3 linked regions of the Canis lupus familiaris genome follow. The protein of the gene in region 1 purifies or fractionates together with the protein of each later gene. This does not show direct contact. Links are inferred from orthologs where the notes say so. Each region holds a gene or a part of one and is shown in the gene's direction. Other genes may lie near its edges.

Region 1 (7,587 bases):
CTGATTTTAGGTTATTTTTTCTGACTGTTTCTTGCATATGTCTTATTTCCCTAATCAGATTGTAAAACATCATATGTCAAATATTTTGAATCCCCATCAGCTATCTTAGCTCCTGAAACAGGCGTTAATTGGTACTTGTGAATGTATAGAATAAAAAATAATGTATGAACTAGTATATAATAGTTGATGGTTATTTGGGATTGATTTTTTTTTTTTTCCTACAAACGCTGAAGTGTGTGAAGTATAGTGTATATACTATGCACTCAGCTGGGAGTCATTGAATTCTGAGTTAATCGCTGAGCTTTGTCCTAGCAACTTTGATCTGCTGTTGTAGATAATGAGATTACATATTACAGGGGACCGTATATATCAGAGATACTAATGTCATATCTTTCGACTGTGACTCAGATTGTGAAAATTGAATTGAATGTGGATTCACATGCATTGGACAAACTAAAAGACTCAAAAGGAGCCTTGTTTAAGTATTTTGCTTATTTGTCTATTTTTGAGTTACACATAGAGTTTAAAATTCGTCTCAGGTGATTATTTCTTGAACTGCTTCTGGGTGCCAAACACTTGTCAGGTGCCCAAACAAGCAAAACAGTAGTAAATAGAAACCAGATCCCCACTCGGATTCTGCGAATGTGTCCGTAGTAAAAGGCACGGTGAAGAAAAGTGAAGTAAGGTCAGGGGCTAGAAAGCTGTAGTGAGTGGTGGTACACATCTTTCTATAGTGTGGTCAGGGCCGGGCTCTGAGGGATTGGTTCTGAGCAGAGACCTGAATAGAGTGAGCAGTGAGCCTCGTAACCCTCAGTGCAAAGACTCTTCCAGGCAGGAACGGCAAGGGCTGTTGGGAATGTGCAGGCATGGCCAGAAGGGAAGGAGTGAGCCCAAGGAGGCTTGGGAGTGAGCTCAGAAAGGTGGTTGGAGGCAAGGCTTGTTCAGCCACAGTGAAGGCTTTAGCTTCACTCCTAATGAGATAGAAAGCCTGGGAAGGATTTTGAGCAGGAAAGTGATAGGGTCTGACTTGTTTTAAAAAGGATCATTGCTGAGTCTGGTGTGGTTAGTAGATTGTTGCTGGAGGGAGGAAGAAAGATTGTAGAAGGCTGAGTTAGGCTCGGAGGGACGGGGGAGATGGTGGAAGTTTATGAAGTGGAGGAGGTATGGAATGGTTGTCTTGACGAGTAGAAGAGAGAAGACCTGTGTCATGGAGTTGCCGAGCTGCACTGAGGGGTTCAAGTGACAGAAGTGATGCAGTTAAACCAAGACGTTGAGTTTCTCACCTGTCGTATACAGTTGCTGGGGGCAGCTGTGAAGTGTAGTCGGTAGTTGGTGTTGGGCCACTTGAGTTTAAGAGGGAGAGAAGGACCAAGTCACTAAGGATAACACCAGGAAGTGGTGGAGAGAGCACACACGCATGCAAGGTTGAGGTATGTCTTTATGTGGTTACATAATCAAGAGTGACTACAGAGTGTAAAACTTGTCCCACTTGTCTTTAATTTTGGTTGCTGTGTTCAATTCTTCCAGCATCCCCGTGGTTTACTTGACCATATTTGGTTGTTTATTTTGAGAACATTTCATTTGAATTTGAGACAATATAAAGTGAGCTTTGCTTATAAGAAAAGAATTTCAATCTTACAGTTACATGGGACCCCTTCCTCTATGATTTAGAGGCATTAGACCTTGAAGAAACCGTAGAAGTCCTCTTACCCAAACTCTTGACATCTGGCTAAGTGATTTGCTCTGGTCGTCACCAGGAGATGGGAAAACCTGCCACAATCAGGACTCTGGTACTTGGGCTCTCAGTAGGCTGATTGTAGAAATCTCTTGGTCAAATCAAGACACTTTTGAGAGTGACGGGGGTGTTGTTAATAGTGTTGGGGCAACGGGTATAAATGAGGGCTGTTCTGAGCGCACTGGGATGGATGTGTGTGATCTCTTAGCTGTGAGCCTTGGGCAATATACAAAAAATGTCACTGTCTCAGATACCGAATCGTGCCGTCCTACTTATGTCACAGGACTTGTGAGAATTCAGCAGGAGAATATATGAAAAAATCATTTTCATAAAGCAGAAAGCTTTATGCACTTGTGACATATGATCTTGTTTTTCCCCTTTAGAAATTTAAGATCCGCATCGAAGACCCACCGCGCAGAAAGCATATGGTGTTCCTGGGTGGTGCAGTTCTAGCAGATATCATGAAAGACAAAGACAACTTCTGGATGACCCGACAAGAATATCAAGAAAAGGGTGTTCGTGTGCTGGAGAAACTTGGTGTGACTGTTCGATAAACTAACTCCAGAGCTTGTTCGCATCACACCCCTAAATGCTTTCTTTTTTCCTTTATTGCCAATCTTTGAACTCATTCAACTCCAGGACATGGAAGAGTCCTCTCTGTGCCCTTTGACTGGAAAGGTCAGGTTTTATTCTGGTGTCTTGGGGAAGCTTTGTTAAATTTTTGTTAATGTGGGTAAATCTGTTTAATTCAACCACTTCCCTACAAACACAACGAGAGGGCAAAGGGTCCTGTCTGCTGCTTTGTTTCTTCTAAGTAGGCATTTAGATCATTGCTGTCGGCTTCCTATTTTCACTTTACTGCTCTAATGCTGCTAGTTTTAGTCTTTAGCACACTAGGTGGTATGCCTTCATTAGCATAAGAAAAAACTTTACAGGAGCTTTTTACATATTATTGGGGTGGGGGTGGTAAGGCATGGGCGGGCAGCTGTTGACCCCTTTACAGCAATTCCTCTGTGGTGTGGTGCTTTCAACAGTTACTGCACAGTTGAAGTACCTTAAAGCTTCTGGAATTAACATTTTAGGGAAATGTTAGGCTCAGAATTAAAGTGTTTGGGGTGGGTTTTTTGCGTGGGGGCAGGGAGTGGTCTTTTGATTTTGACTTTTTGATTTTTGAGCTTTTCTGCTCTGAGATATCTAAGATGAAGTTTATTTGCAGTACTTTGATTTGGCAGGTTTTCTTCTACTTTTGGTCTGCCTGGAACTGTTTCCATGATATAAAAAGCAAGTGTAATATTCCATTACATTACCATGTGGCTTAGGGATTTATTTGTTTTGTTTTTAAATCAACCATATTAGCTGGGAGTAGACTCCCTAGAATCTATCAGTGAAAAATTAACAATTTAAAAATGCTCTTGGAAATTCAAATTACAGATTTAAAAAGTGCTTAAGAGTGCTTCTTTTTATACCAGAAGCATTAAGGTAATCCAGTGCCAAGTACCATTCTTGCAGTTACTCTTTTATATAACTGACCAGTGCTTATTTAATAAGAATAAGTAGATACATATAAATAATTACTGGCAGTAGGTTATAATTGTTGGGTTAAAAATAACATTAAAATATGGGACTTGTTGCCAGTTGGGTAATTTTCATTAGTTTTTTATTATTATTATTTTAATTTGAAACCTGAAAGTGGAGTAAAATTTGACTACTTAAAACATTGGCAAAAAAAAAAAAATCAAGATTTAAATTTGTATTTGTACTGAAAAAGTAATCATAACTAGTAAATCTCAGCCACCTTACACTTGAAAGAAGAGTTGTTGATATTTCTTAAATGTTAGCAGACTTTCCCGTCTGTCAGGAAAATCATATTTATGAATCCCGTCGGTATTGCTTTGTAACTGAAAAAACATCAAATAGTACTCAGACTTGAATTCTTTCTAAATTTGAAAAATAAAGTAATAAATTGTATCACGCTAAGGACAAGATGCAGATTCTGGGGAAAAAATGTTTTTCTTCATTTCAAAATATTCTTTACTAATAATGGCTTTGAGCAAAGAAGCTCAATTTTTAGGTGACTGAAATTAGAGAGGTTATTGGCTGTAGAGTCTTTTTTTGTGAGCAAACTTAAAAATCAATTTATATGAAATAAGCAAAAGCAGGTTAGTTTTAATTATGCAGCTTCTGTTAATATTAAGTATTTTTTGTCTTGTTTTACCTCAATTTGAAACAAGTAAAAGAAGTTTGCATGCTGGCCATGCTTCAGTACACATGAATAGCCTATGAATAACGTGTACCAGAGTGGAGGGACATGGATGTCAGTCATTTTGGAATTCTAAAGTGTTCCTAAATCATGTTCTTCTAAATCCCCCAGCCTTTGAGTCCTGGGCTAAAGGACACAAATGTAGGACAGTAGCTACCCAGCTGTTCATTTAAGGTAAATGGATTAACTCTTGGCCTTTGGTCATGATTTTAATATATGAGGGTAGAAAACAACAAGGACTAGGATGGACTCTTAGAACAATGAAAGATCATTTATCATTTGTCCCTAGAATATAGAATTTGGTTTTACTTTCATAATTCTGCTAGCAAACATGACAGTTAAAATGGTGTATTTATATATATAAATATATAGTATAATTTTAAAATTTCCATTTTCTAATTTTCCTATTCCAAGGCAAAATAATGCATTTAGTAATCTGGGGGGTAGTGGAAATACTATGTTTAATTGAAGTTGTCAGGTCGGGAGTCCCTCAGAAATTAAAATTTTTTTCTGTTTTAAAAAAGATCTGATGTTTAGCTCTTGGAAACCATTGTCACTTAAAATTCTTTTTAAATTGGAATTGCCAATGCCTTGACCTTTGAGAAGGGTTTCTTAGAAATAAGTCCTACATTTAAACTTTTTTCTTTAAAACATGGTATTGGATGTTGACTTTTTACACAGTTCTAAGCACTGTTGTTAATATCTGGAAAGCATTTTGAGAGATTAATGGACAGTAAACATTCTACATTTAACGTGAATACACTTCTTTTTGATTCAGAAAATAAAATCAGATTTTTGAAAGTAAATTTGAATTTTGTGTTCGTTTTGCCTATCATTTTTCTCTTTAGTTTCATTTTATTTTTATTTTTTAAAGATTTTATTTATTTATTCATGAGAGACACAGAGAGAGAGAGGCCGAGACACAGGCAGAGGGAGAAGCAGGCTCCATGCAGGGAGCCCAACGTGGGACTCGATCCCAGGTCTCCAGGATCACACCCCGGGTGGAAGGCAGCACTAAACTGCTGAGCCACCTGAGCTGCCCTCATTTTTATTCATATTTTCATTTTTGCTAATGCAAATTGGATTGACAACTTCACACTAGTTGTCAGGCGAGGTTCAGTTCCAGTTCCGTGTTGTTCTATTATTTGACGACAAAAAAATCCCTCTTTTTTTCCAGTATGATTTTAAATACGTAAGGAAAACAGAAACTGGAAACCAGAGGAAATTACAGCCACAGCTGTAATTTTTCCTTCAAGCGGACAGTTTTATTTCCTGCAAGACTTAGAGTGGCTGTTGCAGGATTAGGAACACCAGACAGACCTTCTATGTAACGTGCCCCTTTGTTCTACTGACCTCTCTCTCCTTGCTTTCCTACTTTGAGGATAGGCGCTGAGGAGTAGGTGATAGGATTTTCGTTTAGCCTTCTTCATGAACTTGTGTGCTTGAATCTCATCTCTCCCTTCATGGCCACGTTCCCCCAGGACTTCCTGGGGTTTGCCTCCGCGTCTTCCGCAGCCTCTTCCTGGTTGCCGGAATAACATGACCAACTGTGTCCATATGCCACAGAGGAAGAAGATACCGGGCGCTGCTCCTCGGTGATGGAACGAATGTTGCAGTGCTCTCCCATTTTCTCCCTTCACCCATAAACTTTGAGCACTGCACAGTTGAGTGTGGAAATGTGCTAATTGTAGAAGCATCAAAGAACGGTACCCAACAAAAGTGAACCAGAAGCTCACGGATTGATTTTAGCTCAATATTTAACACAAAATCATCTAATCTTGGACTAATCGACCCAACTACCCACAGTACCTGGGGTATGTGTAGGGTCCCTCTTTTCCTCCAGCTCAAATTCCTTGACCTATTAAAAGCTTGAATACTTTGGAAGGGCCAAATTACTGGCTTTAACCACTGTATTGCAAGTAATCTTAGCTATAGAGTAGAAAAACTTGCGTTGGGGTTGTAAATAAGGCAGCTGTTGTATACACTTACACCGGGTTTTCAAGTTAAACTTAAGGGAGAAAGAAGCTATTACACTATAGTTTTGTTTAAATCATCTTTACTATGGCAGTGACAATAATAATAATAATGCTTTGTACCTATTCTAAGTATTTCATTTTGTGTCGTGTGCAGATGTAAAAGCCCCATCGGGGTAGGGGGATCTAAATGATGACTGCCTTTGGCAGAACAGTTCCTGTCCTGTCTCCTCTGTCTCCCCTCAGTTCCTGCGCACCCAGAGGAGGAAAAAGACTGGAAAGGACTCTGCAAATATTTTCCCTTGAAAGAGAAGAATTAGTATTTTAACTAGGCTTGCGTGCACCAGCTGAAAGGTTTGGGTTTGGGTTTTGGCGAGTGCGGAACGCAAATAAAGAATAATAAAGTATGGTTTCTAAGCCCAAGGTGTAGACTAGAACACTGCCCTTGGCCGTCAGCATCAGGTTGAGCTTTTGCCTGATGAGTGCCTTTTCTTAATGGTAAAAAGGATACCCCACCGAGCCGCCTTGCTCTTCCTTGAATATGGGTTTGGAGAAGAGGGCTCAACCCTCAGGAATTAAAGAGTTCTATGCACTAAAAAAGTCATTGAAAAATTTTTGAATGCAAAGGTATGAATATCAGATAAAGGTGGACATTTTTAGCAGTTAGTTCAAGAAACTGAAGTCAAGACTTGCAACAATATTCAGTTGATCTTTTTGTGAAGTGGCTGCCTTCTTGTGTGCAGGGGTGGGGATTTTTTCTCCGGGTATATTATAAAATATGCATAAGAAATTCCAAGGCCTGTCTTATCTTAGGTAACCAAAATCTGAGGATTTCCTGAGTGAGGAATACTTCCATTAACTGCACTTAAACATTTTCAAGTCTCGTGCCAACTTGGTATTTGAAGAGTAAGAAATTTGGGTTTTAAGTGAGACTCCAATGTCAAAAATAAGTTGATAACATAGCATTTGACCCTTTGATTCGAAGCTTTCGGTCTCTCTCCACGTCTGTGTTTTCTTTCTTAGATCTAAAGCTTCTGACATTCAACTTTAAGAACTGTTGAAAGGAATGTAGGTTTGGAAACTAAAACCGTGATGACCAGGTGCGATTCAGAAGACTTCCATGATCAATGAAAAAGGCCATTTTGCTCATTTGTTTTGTTTTTACTTAGAGTTTTAGGTAGAATTTCATACATCAAGTATCCTATAGGAAATTAGGTAGGTGGAGCGTAATGAGCTAAATTTCCAAAACAGTCAAATTACTTGCCACTCAGTGTCACTCCTGATACGAAGTCAGAATCACACAGGATGTTTTAAAATGCAGGTTCCTGCCCTGACTCGACCTAAGGAGTTAGGGGCTGGGGGGCTGAGGGTTGGCCTGTTTTCTAGCTGTGCCGGGGACCCCGCCCCACCCTCAAAGCTCTCACTGCCCTGCTGGAGGGTCTTCACAGGGCAGGCAGCCCCAGAGAACGAGCCACGGCCCGGGAGCACACCGGTGCACCCTTGCCCTCACCCCTGACTCCCCGTGGAGCTCTTGGCAAACACGGTCAGGAGTGGGGTGGGAACAGGCCCTAGACACCACGTCTGGGCGGTGCTGGGTGGCCCCCCTGCTGGTTTCCACC
Region 2 (7,151 bases), on another chromosome or scaffold:
GAGTTTTTTAATTAAGAATTATGAGTTAAGAATTAATTATGAAATAAGAATGATTAAGAACTATTTATTCTTAATATTTCTTAATTATAAAAATCTTATTTTTTATCATCGTCTGATTGTCCCATGTTAGTGCCCTTGGGTTTGGGAATGACACTATTCCATGGCAGTGAGAGTACTCAAATCAGTTATTGCCTTCTCTGAGATCCTCCTAGACTTGTGTTTGGTTTTTGAAGTTGAATTGCAATTGCAGTTGCTTGGCCAGAGGTGTTAATGCTTTTGCTCTGACTCCAACTTGATGTCTAGGCTCAGCAGTGTAAAATTTGAGCCTTCAGTAGGAGGCAGAGGACAGACTGTTTAAAGGCTATGCTAGCATTTGATAAGTGAGGGCCTGTTCTGCCATGAAGAGAAACCATTGTATCCTCTTCCTCTGAAGGGAAAGCTGAGGTTGGCCACTGAAGCAGAGTCCCAGTTAATTCTGGTTTATAGGGGAGAGAGATACCACTTTAACCAGATACTTCAGGTAACATTCAATGCAAATTTGTCTCTGATTTCTTGTAGGGTGACAGCAGTATCCGCTATTTTGAGATCACAGATGAATCCCCGTATGTCCACTACCTCAACACATTCAGCAGCAAGGAGCCTCAGAGAGGGATGGGCTACATGCCCAAGAGGGGACTTGATGTTAACAAATGCGAGATTGCCAGGTAAAGAATTGGTATCATAAAGTATTCAGATTGTTTGTGCCACATGTGTTACTCAAGAGTAGTACAACTACCAGTCATGCCATAGTGCCAGTCTATCTACCCTTTGTTGTCCTGTAGAATTGGTATCTCGTTTCCTGCTCACACTTAGGAACGTGGAGTTTTAGAGTAGTGAAGAGCCTTTCAAAATCCTGTAATTGAATTGTGCCCCTCCTCATTCTTTGGACTACATAACCTGTGGTGCAGTGGCTTAGCCAAGGCAGATTTTGTACACTTAAATAGTGAAGCCTTCATCTCTTGTCTTCAGGCTGAGTCTGTGGCCAGTGTCCTCTGGGAGGCAAGCAGGGAGAGCCTGCTGCTGAGATGGACAGAAGAGATGGTTTTCCTGCCCTGAGGGAGACGAACAGGTTCCAAACTGGATTGTAGACCTCATGGATCTTAAACTAGAGAAGCCAAAGACCAATAGCTGGGTTGTTGGGTTAGCTTGATGTAGGAAGTTCAGCTGTGTTATATAATACATAAAATATACTACTGTGGTTTAAAAAAAAATTTGTATTGCATAATGCCTAGTGGTCTTCCTAAACAATAGGCTGTTTTCTCCTCGTGGTCGACAAAAGATAGTCCATGAGATGCATGGATAACTGGCCGTTTTAAACAACAGAATGACTAGTGCTGCACCATCAGGCCTGTGGTCCTACCACACATTTGTACAGTACTGCGTTTCTTTTTTAAATTTTAATTTATTTATTTTAGATAGAGCATGCACAGGGGGAGGGGCAGAGAGAGAGGGGAAAGAGAGAGATCTCAAGTAGACTCCCCGCTGAGCACAGAGCCAGACACAGGGCTCGATCTCACAACCCTGACCTCATGTATGACCTGAGCCAAAATCAAGAGTCGGACACTAGTAACTGACTGAGCCTTGCAGGCACCCCACAACACTACATACGTATCTGCCTAACTATGCTGTCCTGATCACACAATAATGAACACATCTTTAAAAATAATTTTTTAGAAGCCCCTTTTTATATTATTAGAAGTTTCTCTTAAAAATACATTTCTCTACACCTGGAGTGCAAAGGAAAGCTGTCAGAGATAAGTCAAAAGTATGGTTTAAACTAGTCTCATCAAAACATGGTTCAAAACTGATCAAATCCTAACTTAAGGTTGCCTCCAGTATTTGGAAAAGCATTAATTTTACTGTCATCTAAAAGTTTAAAAGACTACAAGCATAACCATTCAGGATACCTCCTACTTACTGTTTATTGAGCACTCGTTATATGCTGGATGCTATGCTAAATGTGCTGCCACACACTCGGGCACTGTAGCACTTGAGCTGGGTGTCAACCCAGGCCGGTCTTCGTTATTGCTCTGCTGACTGCAGAGGTGCCCAGTCTTATCCACATTTTGGGTAATTTCAAATTTTTCTTGAATGTTAGACGTGATGTGGTTTGCTTGAATGCCAAAGTTTTAATCTCAGGATTCTTTTCTTTTCCCTTTTAAAAATCCCATTTATGCTGACAAATGTTCAGCCACCTCTAGTTGGCAGAAGACCTGGCATTCCAGGTCCTAGATTCTGTCTAATATTAGGTGTTTGTTTTCACCTGCCTGCTGACTTGGTCACTTTTGCAGAAGTGAATCATCGTCGGTAGTGGTGTTTCTTCCCCCATGGCTGGTCAGCCCCCAGATTACCAGAGTTGGGCCGTCCCCAGAAGCAAAGACTTCTGCTCCTGGTTCTTGTTTCCAGTCCCCCATTGCCTCGCATTTCTCCTCTGGAAAATGGGAGCACACACTGCACCTGCTCCCCAGAGTAGATCAGCTCAGGTGATAGGCAGAGCGTTTCATGCCCCAGACAGCAGTGTAGAAGACTAGCCGTCAGTCATGAAGCCTGTTAACCTGGCCTCCTGTTTCACTTAATACAACTTTGTTATTATTTCTATTTCTCCCTTGAAGATTCTTCAAACTTCATGAGAGAAAGTGTGAGCCTATTATCATGACTGTTCCCAGGAAGGTAAGTGCCCAGTTTCCTGGGCAATCCACGATTAAAAAGATTCTTAAAATTTCAGGCTTGTCATCTTTAAGCGTTTTCCCAAATGTCTCTTATAGTCCGACCTTTTCCAAGATGACCTGTATCCTGACACAGCGGGGCCTGAAGCAGCGCTGGAGGCAGAGGAGTGGTTTGAGGGGAAAAATGCAGACCCGGTCCTCATCTCCTTAAAGCATGGATACATCCCTGGCAAAAACAGGGATCTCAAGGTGGTCAAGAAGAACATTCTGGATAGCAAGCCCACTGCAAATAAGAAGTGCGACCTGATCAGTGCCCCCAAGAAAACTCCAGACACGGCCAGTGTGGTGAGGACTGCAAGAGGTGGAGGGGTGTGCTTGGTTGTGGCTCAGGGCTTTTAGTAAACGAGGACACATACTATTTGTAAGAACCTTCTTGGTTACATGACATTTATGAGCTCGTGGCCACTTTGGCTCCTTTAGCTGCATTTTTTATAATGACCAGGATAGAAATCTGTCTGCTACCATTTTTGAGAGAGTATACAGGAGCTGCTTGGGTGTTTTCTTAGCGGTCTCTCCCCACCCAGAGTGTTTACATTCATCTCTGATTGGGGTAGAAATGAACCTGGAAAGAAAGGGCCCAAGGAAAGGGAAAGAGTAGTGACAGGGTTCAGGTGTTGCTGAATGTTCCAGAGACAAAATATCTGGCGGTGAGTGGGACTTAGCAGCAAAGATGATCTTGGGCCTATTGGCAAGAACCATGTCATTGGAGTGGTGGGAACCAAAACCTGATGTTGGAGACCCACATGGCCGCTGAGGGTGCTGCTGCTGGGAGAGCGGAGTCCAGCCAGGGAGGAGAGGGCATGGGGAGTTGGCAGGAGTAGAACAGGATCCCAGGGAGCCAGAGGGAAGGCAGAGAGTTGTCAGTGAGAGGGTGAGTGGAATGAAGAGGCAAGGTGCCTGGAAGAGCTGGTGTTTTGGCCATGACTGAGGTAGCCACATGAGGTGCTGTGGATTGCAAGGTTTCCAAAAGAATCAGCTCCACATGTGGCAGAGGCTGAGCCCTCTTCAGAAGAGTGAGCAAGCATGGCAAGGGGGTTGGCTCCTAAGAAGGACCCTCCATGGGAGATGATAGGAGCTCTGTAGCCTCTGGAAGTTCACTCCTGACCTGGGTCACATAAAAGTTACTCCTGATGGTATTGCATGGGGTGGCTGGGCTGTGGGGCAGCCCTGAAGGGATCGGTCCTATCCCACAGTTTGACTTGTTCTGAGTCTCAGTCCAGGTAAGTGCAGAGGCACATGGAATGGGGAGTACTGGGACCCTGGTTCTACTGTGGGGTGGCAGGTGGACTGACCAGCATGCAGTTCCTTTCTCAGAAGGCCCAACTTGGTGGCTATGGCTTGCATTTCCAAAGTAGAAAATTAGATTGTATGCCTTATAAATTCTCAACTTTGGTAAGCTTCGTTTACTGCATTTTAGTCAACCTCTTTCCTCTCCCTCCTCCTTTTTGGTTTCCTTAGCAAAATGAAGCCAAGTTGGATGAGATTTTAAAAGAGATCAAATCTATAAAAGACACAATCTGCAATCAAGACGAACGCATTTCCAAGTTAGAACAGCAGATGGCGAAGATTGCAGCCTGAAGGTCCATCCCCCACCCCCAAAATGGGAGCAGGAACTTGTGCTTGGTAGCTGGTTGTTGGCGTGGTCCCAGGGAGGGCGAAAGGGAGGCACTGCCATTCGGAGACATTCCGGGTCACATTTGTCAACCAGCGATAGGCCACATTCCAGTAAGAACTCAATTCGTCTCCCAAATTTGCAGAAACATAATGTGATTTAAAAGCCGAGCTTTTTATCAGAAAGCTTTTTTGATGTTTTAAGTGTTATGTGACTTGTCGAACTTTTAAAAGACAAAAGTGCTACTTTTAAAATCCCAGATATTCTGAATTTTAGAAAACCAACCAATTCTGATTCAGTGTCGTGCCCAAGTACCTTTTTTTTTTTATAAACAGGGACCAATGCCACATTGCTTTTTATATTTCTTTTTTTTAATGTTGCCAAAACCAAAAGTAGCTTTTTTCCCCCCTTGTATTTTGCTACTTTGCAGTATTTGTGTGTGGTTTTTTTTTTTTTTTCTTAATTTGAAAGGGACAGCACTGTGTATGTTTATAAACTAAATGAAGATAAGATATTATTTTGTATACACGTTCATCTGAGAACAATCAGAGCAGTAGCCACATGGTGCTGGCTCGTTTGCAGCACAAACCTGGTCATCCTCATGACTGTACAGAAGGAAGACTTGAAAAATCACGTGGGTTCGATCACCACCCTCTCCTTTCATGGAGTCTTCTGATCAAAAAAGCTCCTATTGTATTGTTTTCTTTCTTTCTCTTTTCTAGAAACTGGGTGGTTGTACCAGATGGAATTTCACTTCTTGGTTATCCTGTGCTTCAGATGATTATAATCTAACCTAAACTAGCATGTGTTTCTGCAGTTTTGTTATACACATAGAATCTATTGCATTGATCACTTTAAACATCATGTTTCAGGTTTCGGTCAATACTTGATAAGGGCCCAGGACAAGAAGCCACAGAAGCCACTGTGGAGTGTTCCTTCTTGCCCATTTCAGCAGCTTGCCTAGCTCTTCAGTACAGTAGGAGACTAAGACCTAGGGAAGCTGGAGGGGAGTGTGTGCCCCCACGTGATCCTCTGCTCTTCCGAACATCCCATGCTGTCTCTGTGCCATGCTGCCTGCAGCATGGCTCTCCCTGTGCCACCAGAGCCCCTGCCCTCCCCTCAGTCTCCCAGATGCAGCCATCTCTCTCAGGGCTCCCCCAGCCAGTCCTTCTGTCCTTCCTGCCTCTCAGCCCTCTCCACGTTCAGCTAAGAGGAGGCCAGAGGGTGCTATTTAATATTGAGACTGAGGAGAACGGTCTAGAATTATGCAAAACCAGGAGCACAGGCCTCTGCTGTAGCTTTAATGTGTACAAACCTGTCCCTTTGCCCCCTCTACCATACCAACATGCTTTGCACCTCCAGCTCCCACAGAGGCTCCCCAGACTCAGGGGCCAGGGACTGAGCTCTGAATACCTATTCCATTACCAAGTTAGCTTCTCTCCCATTTCCATGTTTTCATTTTGCACGCTTGAGGAGCAAGATTTAAGGAATCTCGGGGAAGAGCTGAGTGAGTGTGGTTGAACATGGAACAGATGGTGCCAGTGGGCCCCCCTGGGGGCTCTTGGCGCCTATTCCTGCTGATGTGGAAGGGAACTGGCAGGGAATGTCTATAACCGGGAATCAGGATGGAGATGGAGTGTGGTGACAGCGGGTTGGAATCTACGGCCAAGCTGGGGCTGATGTCTTTGTAGGAAAGGTACCATGTTTTTTCCCAATATTGGGATCTCTGTCTCCACAACTTCCGGGCATCTGAGTGTTTGGTGTGTGTGTGTGTGTGTGTGTGTGTGTGTAATATTGGAGTGGATAATGAAATATAAGGAAAACAATAATCACAATGACTTATATTCAAATCTGTACATGTTTCTTTATCAACGTAATCTGCTGAAGACCTTCCTTTTTAAGATTCAGAAATGTTTTAAGATTCTGATATCAAATTAAGTAAACAAAATTGTTGGTGGTGGAACACCATAGGAAATGTGGTTCAAAGAGAAGACGGAGGGCAAGGAGAAATTATCCTGATCTTAGTGCGTAGCTTATGACTTATTTAATGAACAGGTGCCCAGCCAGGCTCAAAGTCAGCGCCTGAAGTTTGTGGATTATCCTTCCTGTTTTGTCTTTCTTTCTTTTCTTCTTCTTTTCTTTCTTTTTAAAGCCGTGCTATCCCAGAGGAAAACCAGTGAATTACTCCTAGATCGGCTCTTATAGAGCGGCCATAGTATTCTGTCAAAACACTTGCTTCCATTTTCAAAGATAAAAAAATCATTGATTACAAAATGGTGTCCGTGTTTATTTCACACCTCAGCTGTCTTTGAGGCAGCCCACAGCCTCTCTGATTCAGTGGAACCAGCTGCGCGACTGTTCCTCTCTCAGGGTGAGTACAGGGTGAGTGTGGGTAGGCCGCTGCCCTCCAGCACAGGGGGAGGTAGGGTAGGGTGTAGCAGGGTGAGGGCTACAGGCCAGACTCCAGTTAAGCCTCTAGCCTTTACCAGGGGTGGGATCTGGGGCAGATCTAATCTTGGGGCATCTCTTTCCCTGCTCTGAAGGAGGGATACGAATCCCATGTCATTTGGAAGAGAGATACCTGCGCCCAGTCGTACTGAGAGCCCTTGCCACTACCGCATGGCTGGCATTGTTATTGTGACTGCTGAGTCTCTGACTGTGCTTTCGAAAGCACTGTTTTCTTCAGTACAAGTACAGCCTTCTCAGCTTAGCTGTGATTTTTATTCCAACAGAGGGTTTTCAGGGTCAGTTGAACTTCATGGCCCTTTTAGCTT
Region 3 (7,835 bases), on another chromosome or scaffold:
GAGAAGGAGTATCCCAACCGGGTGAGCGAGTGGGCGCCGAGGACGTCTCGCTCCCGCGGCCCGTGGCCCGTGGCCAGCCCCTGGGGCTTCTCGTAGCCCCGGCCGGCCTTCCCTGAGAGGCTGGGCGCGGGCCGACCCGGCCGCTCTGCGCGTGGCGGTGACCCGGTAGCTGTCTTTAGGCGCTTGATGGCGGCGGCGTGCTCTGGCCGCGGATTCCGCGGGTCCCCGCCCGCCCCCTCCCCCCGGCGGCTGACCTCAGCCGTCACCCCACTTTCTCTCGAGTTCCAGGGCACAGCAAGGGAAACTCCACCACCATCAACAATATCCAGTCCGACGACGAAGGGACACGCCCCCCCCCCCCCCCCCCCCCAACCCCGGGTCTCCCTCTCAAGCTTGATTCGGTGAAATTCACGTTTCTTACCGAATTTCTAGCGCCGGAAGCCACCTCTGAGGCCATTTGGTATAACCCAGTGTTGCAGGGGGAACTAATGCCCGGAGAGGGGCAATCACTTGCCCAAGTTCACATTCTCTGAACCGGGAGCCAAGGCCAGAACTCAGATGACCGGCCTTTACTTTTTTTTTTTTTTTTTTTGGAAAAATCTCGGTTCTTCTCAATCTCGGGAGGTTGCCGAAGCTTTTTTTTTTTTTTTTTTTTTTTTTTTACTCTCATTCGGGATATACTTATTGAACATTTACGTGTGTAGCTAGATTACTTTGCGAGGCCAGAAAGGGATTCCAAAGAAATAAAAGGCAGCTTTCGTTGCATCCCGAGAGCTTACAGTTTAGGGGAGTAACAGTTCATAAATGCTGTTCGAGGTGTAGAGAAACGGGAGGGAAATAGCGCTGCTTCCTCAAGAGAAAGGTGGACTTCTTTTGGGATTTGAAGGCTGGTTTTGATTAGGGAAGGAAAGGAGGAGCCAGAGGCCTGGGGAATATAACAGGAACAAGGATTCTTGTCGTGGTTGGGAGGCCGGAAATCTGCAGTTTTCCGGTCTCTTGCTATCCTGAGTAATACTAAGTCTTTGGGGGAAGGATATATAACAAGAAGGCTCACGTTACAACCTTCTTGGGAAAAGGTGTAGCATTATCAAATGAAGATATGCAGCAGTTCCCATTCTAGAGAAGGAAGTGCATATGCATATGTTTCTAGAGACTTGCGTAAGAATGCTCATACCAGCATTATTTGTAGTCACAAACGGGAGAAGTGTGATAGGATCATAGAATGGAACACCATGAATGAGTAATGAAAGTGAATTAATTAAAGCGGTGGCTCTCAACAGGGTGAGGTTTTTGGTTTTGTTTGCCTCCGAAAGGATGTTTGACACTATCTGTAGACATTTTTAGTTGTCACAACTGGGGATACTACTGATACCTACTAGGTAGAGGCATTATACTGTACATTTTTGTTGCATATACTTCACTGTGTTCTGATTCATAAAAAGTTTAAAAATAAATTTTTATGAATTCAATAACGAACACTGCACTTTTCAGAGACCACACAAGGGAGGTGTTTATAGGGAAGAGTATTAAAGAGATTAGGTTGGATTCTTAATAATTGAGCTAACCAAAAGACTTAAAAATTGTATTAAGAAGTTAGATTCTGGGCAGCTCCGGTGGCCCAGCAGTTTAGCGCCGCCTTCAGCCCAGTGCATGATCCTGGAGACCCGGATCCAGTCCTACGTCAGGCTCCCTGCATGGAGCCTGCTTCTCCCTCTGCCTGTGTCTCTGCCTCTCTCTCTCTGTGTCTCTCATGAATAAATAAATAAAATCTTAAAAAAAAAAAAAAGTTAGATTCTACACTTTAGGCATTGGGCATCCATCAGAAAAAAATGAATAGAGAAATAATTCTGAAATATTTTAGGGGAATGAATCTTACGACTGTATGTTGAGGTTATGGTGGGGGGAGGGAATGTAAAAGGGAGAGCCCTACAGAGTATTTGGGGAGCCATGGCAACAGTAGTGTAGGCATGAGATAATGAAGACTTCATTTCAAGGAAAGAATTAATAGAACTCAACCCATTTAATGGCGGGAGGAACTATAGATGATCTTAGAGTTTTCAATCTAGGCAATTGGGAAATTGGAAATACCATTACAGAAATTGGAGGCATATGGGAGAGAGAACCAAAATTGGGGTTCACATGGTCAGATTGTTTGTATCACGTATCATCCAAGATTGAGAATGTAACATCCAAGGAGTCAAGTGAAAATACAGGATTGCAGTTTAGGTGTGAGATTCAGATGAGTTAGCCAAATAAAAGTGTCAAAATAGAAAGGATTTGTTTTCTTAGGAAAAGAATGTGGAGAATCAAGGAGAATCAAGGGCTGAGCTTCAAGGAATAATTTAGAAAGTGAAAATAAAGTAGAAGAAGAATAGAGAAAAGGTTTGAGGTGATTGAGAAACCAGAAAAGTACCTTTCTTTTCTTTTCTTTTTTGAAAAATGCCTTTCATAAGCACTTTTTTTCTGACTATTCTGTTCTGGAATAATTAAAGGGCTGTCATGAGGACGAATTAAAATTTTATTTGGAATTTCAGAAGGCAGATTTAGAAATCTTGAGTGGGTGGATGTTATTGGGTTGTAGGCTTTGAGTCAGAACAAAGAACTTTATAACAGATGCGCAAAAGTGGAATGGGCGACTCTTGGAGGAATTGGACTCTCTTCCTGTTCAGGAGAGATTGACCAATTGAAATCACAGAGGACCAACTCTAGGAGTTTTTGAAGTCTTGCGATATTTCTGAGAGCAGTAAGAGCAGAAACTACTTTGAGCTTAGCAAAGGAAAGGACAATAAGATGATGGTAGCAAGTATAGTGTACTCATCCAAAAAATTGGCAGAGAAAAATAATGGATTAGCATCTCAAGAAGTATTTAATTTTTTTTTAATTTTTATTTATTTGTGATAGTCACAGAGAGAGAGAGAGGGAGAGGCAGAGACACAGGCAGAGGGAGAAGCAGGCTCCATGCACCGGGAGCCCGACGTGGGACTCGATCCCGGGTCTCCAGGATCGCGCCCTGGGCGAAAGGCAGGCGCCAAACCGCTGCACCACCCGGGGATCCCTCAAGAAGTATTAAGTGTGGGGCAGCCCAGGTGTGGCAGCCCCGGTAGCTCAGCAGTTTAGCGCCGCCTGCAGCCCAGGGTGTGGTCCTGGAGACCCTGGATCAAGTCCCATGTTGGGCTCCCTACATGGAGCCTGCTTCTCCCTCTGCCTGTGTCTCTGCCTCTCTCTCTGTGTGTCTCTCATGAATAAATAAATAAAATCTTTTTTTAAAAAATATTAAGTGTGGAATGAATAGATAGTAAATATTTATCTTTGGTTTCATAAAATTTTCTGGAGACTTGTGGTAGATATTTTTCACAGATGAGAGATACTAGTCTTAGAAGACACAAATAGTGAAAGAAAAGGTTTGACAAATTGGACTTCATAAAAATCAAAACTCTTCAAAAGACATCATTTTAAAAAGGGCACACCAATAACAGGGAGAAAATATTTGTAATACAAATCTGACAGAAGACTTGTCTCTAAGATATATATAGGGGATCCCTGGGTGGCGCAGCGGTTTGGCGCCTGCCTTTGGCCCAGGGCGCGATCCTGGAGACCTGGTATCGAATCCTACGTCGGGCTCCCGGTGCATGAAGCCTGCTTCTCCCTCTGCCTGTGTCTCTGCCTCTCTCTCTCTGTGTGTGTGTGACTATCATAAATAAATAAAAATTAAAAAAAAATAAGATATATATAGAACTCTTACAACTCAGTAACTCTTAAAACTAGATAAGATAAACAATCTAACTATCAAAAAATGGGCAAAAGATTTGAATAGACTCTCCACTAAAGAAGGTACATTGTAAGGCACAATGAAAAGATGTTTAACGTTATTAGTCATGAGGGAAATGCAAATTAAAAACTATTGTGATATACCCCGTGATCAGGAGGGCTAAAATAAAAGATACAGTACCTCAGGTTGGTGAGGATATGGAGGAACTAGAACTCATGCAGTGCTGATGGGAATAGAAAATGGAAAACTTTGGAAAATTAATGAGCAGTTATAGAGTTTGCATAGATCATATTTTTACCATCTGACTCAGCAATTCCACTTCTAGATATTTACTCAAGAGAAGGGCATATATCTACACAAGACTTACTGAGTCTTTGTAGCTACCTTATTCATAATAACTTCAAGCTGAAAAGGACCCAAGTCTATCAACAGATGAATCCATTCAATGGAATACTATTTGGCAATAAAAAGCAATGAGCTTCTAGTACAACATAGATGATTAACATGGACATTATTTTGAACAAAAGAAATGGGATGCAGAATAGTGTACTGCATGGTTCTATTTATATAAAATTTTATAGCAAGCAAAACTAGTATCTAGAGATAGGAATCAGATCAAAGAATGCTTGAAGTGAGATAGGGATTGGAGGTAGATTGCAAAGCCTGAAGGATCTCCTGGGAAGATAGAAATTTTTATATCTTGATTGGTGTAGTGGTTACATTGATACATATATCTGTTAAAAGTCATTCACCTATACCCTTACAGTATATGGATTTTATTATATAGAAGCTATACTTCAGTGAAGTTTATTTTTTAAAAAATCAAAGTACCTTTTCTTAATAGTTGGAAATTTGAACTTTAACCCCAAGGCCATTTTTCCCCTTTAGCAGTTAAATTGATGTGCCTGTGATTTAGTATCTCCCAACTATATAGTTAGATTGATTTCCTCGCTTCCACCCACTCCCACCCTAACAGTTAATCTCTTCCTTAATACATAGCATCAAGGAGCCACTCCAAAGGGAGAGGTTGACTGTGGTGCTGGGAATCCAGGAAGGCTACACTATGGCATCACTTAAAGCTGGTTTTCTTGCTAGTTCATAAGCACCTAGAAGGAGGAAAGATGTGACTCATCCCCTAATCCTTCACTGTACTTTTGCACAGTATCAAGCACATAGCTGCATTGGAGAAGTGTTGATTTGACTGGTTTTTAGTCACATTAATTATTAAAGAATACTTTATGTATGGGTCAGAAATGAGGTTGAATTAGAGTATTTATAAAATTACTTCCTGAGCAATTAGTAAGCCTTTAGCAAAGACCTCCCTTGAGCTAGGAGCATAAGTTATTTACAGTTTCTTAGTGATGAAGCAAATCCCTTTCTTTTGAACACTGTGGTGTCAGTCTGATGAATTGCAGAGCTTATCTTCTCTGCCTGAATCACACATACCCTTAAGGACAGGCATCTGTAGAGATGAGGGTTTATTCTTTGCTTATTTTGTATTATTTTTTAAGGCATAAAAAAAAATGCAATTTCAACTATCAACTGACCATCACATTGTATAAGATCATTTTTATCATTAGTTCAGTGCTTCTATTTTTTTAAAAAATATTTTATTTATTCATGAGAGAGAGAGGCAAAGACAGGCAGAGGAAGAAGCAGGTTTCATGCAGGGAGCCTGACATGGGACTCGATCCTAGGTCTCTAGGATCACGCCCTGGGCTGAAGGTGGCGCTAAACCGCTGAGCCACCCGGGCTGCCCCAGTGCTTCCATTTTGATTGTATTTTAATTCTAGTTTTATGCTATGCCTCATTTAATATTGTTGGCTATTAGATTCTTCTGATTTTTCCTCTTCACATTTTATATTATTAAAGCTTTATTAAGTTTCTAAATATCCATTTGCATTTAGTCCTCTCAAACACAGTTGCAATCCTCAGAGACTTACTGCTTAACACTGCTTCAGTTTTAGTTGCCATAAATAGCACTTCTAGAGGAAAGCTAGTAATTTAAAAAATCACTTAGTACAGACTTCAAGCAAGTAAATTCTGGCCATGGTTTTTTGGGGGTGGTTTTTTGCCTTTAGAAATTTTTAGTCTATTAATTATTTTCACCACGGATTTTGAAATAGAAGAAAATTAAATTCCTATTTTTAATATCTTAGGGTAACATCTGCCTGGAGAATGGCTCTTTCTTGCTGAACTTTACAGGCTGTGCAGTGTGCAGTAAGCGGGATTTTATGCTGATCACAAACAAATCTTTGAAAGAGGAAGATGGTGAAGAAATAGTTACCTATGATCGTAAGTAGAGTTTTTATTTTCATGCAAATCTGGTGGCAGAGACCTGCTCTAGAAAGCTGATATGTTGTGCCTACTGATACGTTGTATTTTATGAGGCCTGTTTCTATATTGTATTGCAACAGAGTTGCTAGTTCAGTTTTTAAGAGGAAGATAAATATGATGCTAGTAAATATGATGCTAGCTAGCATCATCAGATTCTGCCTAAGTGACTTTTGCAGATGACTGAAGCTTATGATTCAGGTACCATTTTTTGTTTATTTATTATTATTATTTTTTTTTTTAAGATTTTATTTCTTGGGATCCCTGGGTGGCGCAGCGGTTTAGTGCCTGCCTTTGGCCCAGGGCGCGATCCTGGAGACCCAGGATCGAATCCCACGTCGGGCTCCCAGTGCATGGAGCCTGCTTCTCCCTCTGCCTGTGTCTCTGCCTCTCTCTCTCTCTCTCACTGTGTGCCTATCATAAATAAAATAAAAATTAAAAAAAAAAGATTTTATTTCTTTATTCATGAGGGACAGAGAGAGGCAGAGACAGGCTGAGAGAGAAGCAGGCTGGGTTCAGGGAGCCTGATGCAGAACTTGATCCCAGGACTCCAGGATCACACCCTGGCCCGAAGGCAGACACACAACCACTGAGCTACCCAGGCATCCCGTTTGTTTGTTTATTCTAAAGTCTTTATGCCTTCTGAAACAAGACGGAGACTTTTTTTTTAACCCTATGGTCATTCATGTGAGTTTTCTTTTTTTTACTATAGTCTAATACAGTGATGTCCTCCAACAGCTACTAAAATGTTTAGGGCTATTTGCTGCCATACAGAATGACCCTGGGATGTTACGGTTTTTTAGTCTTGTTTCTGCTCTCAGCTTTTTTTTGTCTTCTTTCTCATTATCTTTCTGTGCTACCTTCATATGCTGTTCCTCATCCTCTATGCTGAGGAACCAAATAAATAAGCTCTGTATCATAAAAATGAATCAGATCTGAGGTTGGCACTCTAAGAATTTTTGTGAGTAAATTAAGTGTGTGTACATTTTAGCAAGTAGGTATGGTGATGATAATTTAAACTGTTTATATCCTCTTTTTGCTTGTCACCTGGTTCTTCAGTATGTTCTGAATATATGAGGAATAAATGTGCAAATAATGATATTTTGTAAAAAAGATATGAGAGACACTAAGCCTTTAGTCATTGAAAATGTTCTAAATATTCTAAGTGTTCTAAAGTAGAACAGTCTTTTTCTTTATTTCAGGAATAACCCTTTCAACTCTATTTTAAAGAGGTAGTAGGACACAGTGGTTAAGAGCAAGGGCTCTGGAGCCAGAATGCATGGGTTTGAATTCTGTTTCCCACACTTCTAGCTCAGTAGTCTTGCTAATTGCTTAACTGTGGTGTGCCTTTGTTTCTTTATCCTTAAAAAGGTGATAACAATAGGATCTACCTCTTTGGGTTTTGAGAAGATTAAGTAAGTAAACAGATAAAAAGTACTTAGAACTATATCTGGCACACATTAGGCACTCAATAAATCATATTTTTTTTAAAAATCCTATTTATGATCATATTTTTAAGGAGTCTTATTATTAAATTCATTTTAATGTCTAGCATTGGCTTTTTATGATTGTTTTTTGTAGTACAGTTTCTAGAAGTCCTGAGAATGGGAATTAGTATATGCCTGTTAAATCTCTGAGTTGAGGCCATTCGTTATGTAGTGTTGCTATGTGATGGATTTTGGGTTTCTTATCAAGGTAGATATTAGAATGGGTTTCCTGCTGCTGTGTTAAA

The links.
Region 2: the proteins of ACTR2 (region 1) and CORO1C fractionate together in Homo sapiens (co-fractionation; 3 studies listed by BioGRID and IntAct, with this or other methods). This does not show direct contact. The link is inferred for Canis lupus familiaris from reciprocal best matches to the Homo sapiens genes ACTR2 and CORO1C.
Region 3: the proteins of ACTR2 (region 1) and CHURC1 purify together in Homo sapiens (affinity purification with mass spectrometry; 4 studies listed by BioGRID and IntAct, with this or other methods). This does not show direct contact. The link is inferred for Canis lupus familiaris from reciprocal best matches to the Homo sapiens genes ACTR2 and CHURC1.

Annotation. Positions count from the first base shown.
Region 1 is NC_049231.1:66,019,006-66,026,592, forward strand, and holds the end of ACTR2 (actin-related protein 2), read left to right. Parts: intron 1-2,118; coding exon 2,119-2,289; 3' UTR 2,290-4,807; downstream 4,808-7,587. UniProt on the Homo sapiens protein: ATP-binding component of the Arp2/3 complex, a multiprotein complex that mediates actin polymerization upon stimulation by nucleation-promoting factor (NPF).
Region 2 is NC_049247.1:18,585,454-18,592,604, forward strand, and holds the end of CORO1C (coronin-1C), read left to right. Parts: intron 1-558; coding exon 559-704; intron 705-2,651; coding exon 2,652-2,709; intron 2,710-2,804; coding exon 2,805-3,050; intron 3,051-4,223; coding exon 4,224-4,343; 3' UTR 4,344-5,179; downstream 5,180-7,151. UniProt on the Homo sapiens protein: Plays a role in directed cell migration by regulating the activation and subcellular location of RAC1. Increases the presence of activated RAC1 at the leading edge of migrating cells.
Region 3 is NC_049229.1:39,577,426-39,585,260, forward strand, and holds part of CHURC1 (protein Churchill), read left to right. Parts: coding exon 1-21; intron 22-5,928; coding exon 5,929-6,064; intron 6,065-7,835. UniProt on the Homo sapiens protein: Transcriptional activator that mediates FGF signaling during neural development. Plays a role in the regulation of cell movement.